2 linked regions of the Arabidopsis thaliana genome follow. The protein of the gene in region 2 interacts with the protein of the main gene of each other region in a pairwise test. Each region holds a gene or a part of one and is shown on either strand. Other genes may lie near its edges.

Evidence for each region. Proteins that work in one complex are often made in the same cells at the same time.
Region 1: the proteins of AT1G24580 (region 2) and AT1G55950 interact in a two-hybrid assay, tested with the Arabidopsis thaliana proteins (one large-scale study listed by BioGRID).

Annotation. Positions count from the first base shown.
Region 1 is NC_003070.9:20,925,899-20,930,222, forward strand, and holds AT1G55950 (DNA-binding storekeeper protein-related transcriptional regulator), read right to left. Parts: upstream 1,648-4,324; 5' UTR 1,601-1,647; coding exon 941-1,600; 3' UTR 819-940; downstream 1-818. Other genes in the region: AT1G55960 (Polyketide cyclase/dehydrase and lipid transport superfamily protein), read right to left, coding at 2,064-2,348, 2,462-2,658, 2,830-2,911, 3,005-3,271, 3,351-3,498, 3,695-3,927.
Region 2 is NC_003070.9:8,707,471-8,711,896, reverse strand, and holds AT1G24580 (RING/U-box superfamily protein), read right to left. Parts: upstream 1,957-4,426; 5' UTR 1,720-1,956; coding exon 1,324-1,719; 3' UTR 1,073-1,323; downstream 1-1,072. Other genes in the region: AT1G24575 (DEAD-box ATP-dependent RNA helicase-like protein), read left to right, coding at 420-686; AT1G24570 (transmembrane protein, putative (DUF707)), read right to left, coding at 2,406-2,525, 2,694-2,729, 2,806-2,883, 2,987-3,040, 3,129-3,195, 3,285-3,341, 3,417-3,530, 3,593-3,694 and 4 more.

The DNA.
Region 1 (4,324 bases), about 12 Mb from region 2:
TAATTTTATATAGCAAAAACCTTAATCTTAGAAATTGCAAATCGAATTGAAAAAATAAATCAGAAATTAAAAGAAATTTTATTGCTGTTTTTAATATAATGATTTGTTTGAATTTAAGTTTAGTTTATTAATAATAGGTGAGAGTTTAAAAAAAAAAAGTTGAGAGTTTTTAATATGTTTGGAGGAAAGGTGGGGGTTTTTCTACCCATTTTCCGATAATAGGAGTTTGTCCCAGCTTTAGCTTTACTTACATATCTTTGTTTGTGGTGGCAGAGCCAAAAATTGAGTTAAAGCTGGTTTGAGTAGTCACCAGTTCCATCATCATCATGTTCATGCATGTCGGATGTACCTTGCAAATAAGGAGAAACAACAAATTAGTAGAACAAATTCAAGCAGCAACAAAGAATAATGTCCGGTTTGTGAAGTTACTAGTTGCAGCTTTGTCAATTGTACTTGCATCGGTTTCATGAGGTGCATCTTTGTTCTTATTCTTCTTCGCTGCCACTCTACGGTCTCTGTTTTTATGATTTTTCTTTTTCTTCTTCTTGGCTCTGCGGATTTTGAGGCCAATGCTCTTAGACATTGATGAGTGTTGAAATCAGCTTGAAAGAACCATGTAATCTTTAAACTTGGCAACAAAATGACTCATTGAGCCTAACCAAAATGAGAGTATTTTTACCAAATTTATACCATAAACCTTGACCACAATTTAAACACAATTGTATGCATTAAAATCTAATCTGCCGTTCTTTCATAATGTTTTTAGCAACAAAATCCAAATATCAAAAACCAAAAAAAAAAGAACCAAATAGAAAAAACAGAGTCATAAGGGATGAAAATGAAAAAGGATGCATTACAATTCTAAATTCAGACTTGTTTAATTTGCTCCAGTGATCATCGAGTTGACCTCATCAAAAATCTTGTCTTTAGCCACAAGTATTCAGATTTCATATATTTCAACATTTGCTAGAGAGTTCTCATCTACACCTTTGTTCCTTTTCTGTACAAACTTGTCTTTCAAACGACGGATTTTGGTAGTGAATTGACGACTATTCGCTTGAAAGCTAATGATGTTCTTCACCGTATCAATAAAACCAGTCATATCATCATAAGAAATCGTCCCTTTATCATTCTGGAAATCAACCATGCCTTGCAACAAGACGATCTTATCATCATCACTCAATATTCTTTGAAAATACTTCTTTTTGGTATCTGTTGACACCATCTTATCATCATTCATCTTGGCTACAACAACGGAACCGCAAATCTTCTTCTCCAGCTCGGTTTCAGAATATGAATCGGAGTCATGCCTTTCAGCAGCAACGATGATAAAAGCAGAAGCCGGAAGATTCTTACCAAGATATTTTTCTCCTTCTTCCTCAGTCTCCATTTTCTCGTCGTCGCCATAAGATTCCGTCGGTGGATTTTCCAATGGTTGTAGATATCTTTTCTTCCTCGGCGGATCTTCCAACAATCTCTTCACCGTCGATGGATCTTTCTCCGGTTTGAGACACTTGTTCTTCTGTTGGGAACGCTTGTTTTTCTTGGCCATCAAACTTTTGAGAGAGTGGGAGGCCAAAAGTTTTGTTATTCTTTTCATTTTTTTTCCTTTTGTTGTCAAGATAAAAAAACGTTTCAGTTTTGTAATGAGATAATATCATAGTAAAGGTCTTCTATTTATTGTGGTGTTGGACTCTTCACTCGCCGCTTAGCATCTAGGGTTGAGCTATAGTTGCTACAACTTCCAAAAAGAAGGGCTAAAAGTAGACCTCATAAGCTTTCTCTTTAGTCTCAACTTTAATGTCACTAATGTTCATCTGTCCCAATATCAACTACAATCGAACAATTTGTAGTGACTCAAGAATCAAGTAAAGATTGATTGGGATAAAGACCTTACATAGTACATACAATTACAAGAATGATAACCTTTAGGCTTGTATGTTTATAATGTATGCTTTTACATTCATATCAACACCGACTTGCATTTTGTATACGCTAGTGGTAGTACTACTGTGGTACAACAATTTGATACCAAAAGCTACCAGAGTTCAGGAGAAATTTACTTAAATGGTGGTGGTCTGGGTGGTCTGATTCAGAGAAGTTCCACGTTTGTTCAGCTTCGTCAAGAGGTAAGCCAATGCGACTTTAGCACCTAAGGCTGAGGGACCACGGGACAAGCAGATCGCACCGCCCACAAGTACTAGACCTTTTGCTATCAGTTTCGTTGATGGCTTTCTCATTTTTTTCTTCTGTTTGGCGGCTACAACATGACTCAACACTCCTTCACCACTACTTGTTTCCATGGAGCCTGTGACATTATCTGTCCCAGTTTCTAACTCTGATGGAACCTGAAGATACAACAATCAATGTCAGTGAAGACCCAACCCAACCGGTTGCTTTAAGCATATTTTCAGGACACTAAATACCATTTTACAGAACAGAATTTTCATATGAATCTCACCTCTTTCATTAAGGTGACAGCAGATAGAATGGGTCCTTGGGTTCTATGACTGGTTGCTATGTATTTACAAAGAGCGTTTTCCATCTTACAAACGTAACTCCATATGCCTTTTGAGAAGGCGAGCTTGGCCATCTCAACATTTAACCCAGCATTCTCCTGGTGAAACATTTTGATCTCACACGCATTTCTACCGGGAACTGCAGCAAGTGTGTCAAAGGTATCAGTCAGATAAGTATCAAAGGTAGAAAGAATGCTGACAACAGAAACTGAAAAAAGAAACTAAGGACCGTGTTCACCATGATCAATCAATATCTGGTTATATGGTATTCAAACAACACTGACTAGAACTTTTAGGTGAATCCACTTGCCTTGCCTGATTCGCCAACCAGATCTAAAGTAACTTACACGTACATACTTCCTCTGTTGTGGTACCATATTGTGATCACATTCCTAATAGTAACCAAAGAGCAAAATGATAAGTAAAGAAGCAACAACAAATTGCGACAGATAGAGGGAGAGAGAGGTTTTTTGGTTGAATTTGACCTTTGTGAAACAGTAGAACTTCTTCTCCTTTCCTTGCCACAATCTCCAAGCTAGAACGTACTCTCTCGATGTCAACAAGGGAAACTTTTTAATGGTGCGACCAATCTCAATTCCAGTATTACTATCAACCTGCAACTGCTCATGCTCAACCACAGTCTTATCCCATAGTTTCCTATAATCATTGTCCATGTAAAAGTCCCTCACAATCTCTGCAGAGAAACCCTCGAAGACCGTGACACTTAGGTACTTCATAGGACCACCGCCATCCTAATAATAGAGCCAAAAGGATACTCAGTAATCAGAATAATAAAAGACTAAAAAGACACTTTTGAAAGTAAGTTACTACTTTGGGTTTGCAGCGTTTAGCAGAGTATGAAATGCGATCGTTGCTTTTGTGAATAACATGTTCCCATATCTCCGTGGAATCATTTGTTTCCTCCTCCAAATTCTCGATCAGAAATTTCAAATCTTCATCAGAGACTAGTTTGGATATCCTGCAAAAAAATGTATAAGAGGAATCTGGTAGCTCAATGAAACCAATCCACATAAAGCCTAAAGACAATTCCACTCAAGTAGAATCCTTCAAAGTTTAAACATTTCAAAAATCAAACGCACTTTAAGCAAAAAAGGATTAGTTTTTTTCATTAGCCAAAGTGAGTAATTAAACATTTGATTGAGAAACCTTTTTACCTTGATTGAGAGTTCGCGGGAACTGATTCTGTAGAGGGAGAGGAAGAAGAAGAAGAAGAAGAAGAAGAAGAAGGAGCAGAAGTGAAGAAGCGAAATTTAGTGGAAAAGAAGATATGAAGGAGAAGGATTAAGAGAAGCGAAATCGCGGTGGTCCATAAATAACAATCGGAAACAGCTCGCCGAGAAAGTTCGTCGGAGAAGAAAGACAAAGCCCAGGTTGATACGCTCTTCATCGAATTCCAAAATCTCGACGATTTGCGAAATCATTCATCCATCGTGGCGTCTGTTTTTGTGTTTTCCAGTTGCAGATGCGGGCAAGGCAACGGATTCTGGACTCTGCTTTTTCTCTTTATTTTATGGTGTCGCCCCCCCAAAATTTGATTTTTTGTTCTTTTTGACCCCTTTTTTTATTTTCTTACAACTTTGCCCTCTTTGTGTTAAATCAATGGGTGTTTATATACAACAAGAACATGACCAAACTATTGACAGGTCAGACTCGATTTGTGATCTAGAACCATAAATTGAGGCAAGCCACATAATGAAATCGAAAGAACCTGTCGTTTTAATTCATGTAAAAGATATGGAAGAAATGAAGTGTCAGAGAAAATGGATAAGGGCCATAAGGCAACG
Region 2 (4,426 bases):
ACAGTAACTACCAAATTTAACATTTGTCGTTTGTACTCTTGGGGCATATACCTCAGAAAATTATAAACCGTTGGCCCACTTCACGAATTCGAAGTTGTTAATGTTTTCGACCAATCAATCTTGCTTCTTGTTAAAGCTAATCACCCTCACGCGATATTTCGTATTAGATCCTTACCTATATCATTAGTCCAAATCTCTAGACATGTGCATAGAATATATTAAAATCGGCCAAACCTGAAGTAGTAGTATATTTGCTCGGAAAAGACATAAAGAAAACAGGGAATCAGATTCACGCCCATCTTTCATGTGGACTACAACCTCATAACATGTAGTATTATATAAAGATACCTACGATAGTTTTCAAAAATATCCCTAATAAAACAACACTCCGATCCAAACAAGAAAGAGCTAGTTTAAGAATGGTACTTGGAAACTCCTCCAGTCACAAATCTCATCACCATCAACATCATAATCATCATCACCGGGACTCGATGAAGGAGTTCCGAGCTGTCTTTGCAGCCGAAGAACCAATCCAGGGCTTCGAGTATGCAGATATGAGGAGGTCAAAGAGCGAGAATATGGGCACTAGAGAGGTTGCAAAAGCAGAGGATGTTGACAAAGAAGCTGAGCAATTCATCAAGTTTGAGCATACGAAGTTCAGTAAGTGGATGACTAAGAGCGCCTAGTCTATGTGGACGAAGAATAAAAAGTAATAAATGACAAACCATAATATATAGATTGTATTGTATGATTTGTGTTTCTTCTTCTGGTTTTTATTTTTGTTATGTAACAAAATGGGTGCTGTTTCCTTTGTCTAGAAAGGTGCATGGAAATAAAGACTACAAATTAGTATATTTCATGAACTCTTGGATCTTCTAGTTCCACATAATTGTTTTTTCCGATAACATGCAAAATCTGGTTTGAATTGGAATTGTACTAATTATGCTACAAGTTATGGTCTTAGTTTCACATTTAAATGCAAGACTGTCACACTAATCATGAATACATGAGATAAAATGGAAGATATAAGAATACAATTCTTTCTAAAATGTTAAAATAAAAGAGAGCTTAAAGAGTTGAAAATATGACATTTCCATTATTAGAGAAGAAAAACAAACCCCTTTTTCAACTCAAGAAAAATGGGGAAAACATTCACACACATCAATTGTATAGTCCTTTATTATGAAAAAACCCCTTCTCCATACCAAGAAAAAAGAAGGGGAAAAACATAAACACCAAAAAGGGTAAAACAGAGGATAGAGAATGTGGTATTTTCCTATAGCAAAGCAAAACAAAAGGAAAGTGTAAAACAAGATTCCACCACTAGAGAATGGACCTGCAAAGAGGGCATGTGGTGTGGTTATTACCAAACCAGTTGTCTAGACAAGCTCTGTGGAAGAAATGCTTGCAAGAAACCAACTCACTCACTTCCTCTTCCTCTTTAAACCCACAAAGGCACACACAACACTCCACACCTTTCTCTTCTTCTTCCTCTTCTATGTTCTCACATAGAGACTTGAACTGTGTTATCGAGATTCTTCTAGTAACAAAATCATCTTCAGGCTCGTCGTCTATCTCCATGGAAGATTCAGTCTCGGATGCAACAATTTGAAAAACAGACCTCACCATGTTCTTCAACAGAGTGATTGAAACAACCGTGTTCATCACCAGAAGTGGTAGTACTCCTTCTGACGCTGTTGGAAAATGCGAGAGACCCATTTTTTTATAACTAAGATTATATTCACAGAGATAGAAACTGAGAGTCTTTGAAAGTTTTGAGACACGAAAAATCCTTAGAAGAGAAGAAATAGAGAGGAAGTATAGCCGCCACTCATGTTCCGGTGGGCGATTGGGTTTATTAAGCAGCGGTGGTCTAAACACGTGTCACCAAGAGAGAGGTTATCGTTAGAGACTCATCTCCCACAATTTGATTGTGACTCAATAATAGGTTGGTTCGTCTTTTATAACCAGAAAATTTAAAATAAAACAAAAACTCTGTTTTTTTTTTTTTTCTGTGGTCTGTTTTGTTGTTAGACTTCTGACACGTATTGTGATCAGCCAACCAAGTTGTGCGTTGTGGAGAGCTCCTTGTTCTCCCGAGGTCGATTCTTGATCGACACGTGGAAGACTCAACGTTTCACGGTTGCATGCCACGTCACTAGACCAGACATGCTGACACATGAAAAATTGGACAAATCTTTGTCAAAGTTCACACACCTGTTCTGTTTCAGCTCCTCACAATCTTTTTGTGATTAAAATCATTCACAGTCCTGTTTCTATTATTCAATGGAATCTGATCGTTGTGCGGATCAAAGAGATTGGTATCTCTATAACCTATAAGATCTATATGTAAATGTTATATAGCACCTTAAAATATCCTGGCTACAACTAGTATTGGTAAGGTACTAATGAGAAGTTGTTGAATTGGATGGGCTTTCAACTTGTAACGATCTGAAATAATCCTTTTCCGCGGCTTCCACTCTGTTCTCGAACATTTTCCATTCCATTTGACATCTATCCCTCACCTGCAACACACAAAAGTTTAAGACAGATTGGTCCATTTGGTTGCTTTCTTGTCAAGGTATCTAGAAAATCTAAGATAGCCCTAGGTTTTGTTATAGGGAAGAGAACACATGAAAGCTCTCCAAAACAAGAGGAAAATTTGTATTGAGACAAAAACAAGTTTTGCTTACCCCTTGCCATGGTGCTTTCCCGTTATCTGCTTTCCCCTATTGGCAAGAAAAGGAGAAAGAATGAGAAATTTTAATTGGTTTTGGAAAGGAGAAAGTGAAGAAGTTAAGTAACCTGGTTGCCAAGGGAAGGGATAAATTGATGAACGATCCACTGTGAGTCTACTATTCCTATCTTCTCAAATGCAGGCTCCTTCATTTTCACATATAAAAATGAAAGCCTCTTCATTAATTGATCAAACATGCAAGAACATTTGTACAAACACTAAGCAACAACATAGTGAACTTTTGTGTACCTCAACACATCTTCTCAGTGCAAAGTCAAGACCCCAACCGTGAACCAAATCATTCTGTTTTTGGTTCATATACAATTAGGTGCAAGAAGGAGACATTATATGAAGATATGAAGGAGCCAATAGATAATAAAGTAAGTGTAACCTGGATCATATGCCACACGCAGCGCCATGCATCTCTTGAGAATACAGGAGCCATTATCTCCACGAATCTGTTTTTTTATTAAAGACATAACGAAGTTACTAATGGTTTAAATATGTCTGAAACTTGAGTTTGATAGAGACGTTTTTTGAAACATACGCAGCACATGGAGGCCGGGGAGGATTAGAGCACCAGTCGAGTTTCTCATCTGTCTCCCTGCTAAGGTTCAAGCCATATTCAGAACCATTTTGTAATGTAACAAAAATAATCTAGAGAGGCCGTTATATATACTTGTGGACTTCACTATGTTCTCTTCTTTTGGTGATCTGCCAATTAAACCCAGTCTCTGGGTCCAAACCAGGCTGCGAAATCTCAAGGTCGTGCTTCTTCACTATGTGTATGTATCTACAACAACAAACATAGTTAGAAATTTTTAAATGGAAGTGAGAAGAGTAAGAGAAACTCACTCTTCTGCATTAAAGTGATCAACTCCAAGATCCTCATCCCATATGAATATATAATCGTATCGTGCTACAATGTCCGGGTGCAAGAATCTCTTTGCATACCACCTTATGTTCACAATATGAGAGAGTCAAGAAACCAGATAAAAAAAAGTGGTTAAAGCAAAGATATTGATACCATTTTGTCTGCTTTTTGACACTTATGTGTATTGCATTCCTCGACCACTCAAACTCATCATTCCATGCACTTGTTACGCCATCATAATGAAACAGAACAATAGTAAAGTTCTCTGAAAACTGTATTTGAGTAGACAAAACATAATGAGTTTACTATTAAGCAAAAACAGAAAACAAAAAGTGTTATATCAATCAACCTTGCTAACACACGCATCTATATTGTGTCTCTGATTATAACCCACTGTAAATGTTGCTAGATATCTCGGTTGTTTCACTAAATCCTGAGGAAACAGAGAAAATAAAATTGAAGCTAATGTTCATTGATCACATATGAAAGATGTCATATCAAAAGAGTGAGGAAAAACCTCATCAGGGTTCCCCCATAATCTGCGCAAGTACAAGTCCGATTCGGATGCAATGATACCGGATGGTAATCTCTCAGCGCCTCGAGGATTTGATGGTTCCCATATCTGCACCAAAACATGCCTTAAACTTTGGTTTTTGTGCTTAAAACATGAAAAAGATGTGTAGATTCCTACATAAAACATGCCTTTGAGATATCAATGGCTTTGTGAGGAGTTGCAATTCCGGAATCTCTAAGTGAGATAGCAATGGAGCGAAGAAGGTTTCTCGGGAGACTTGTCTACACAATACAAAAATGGC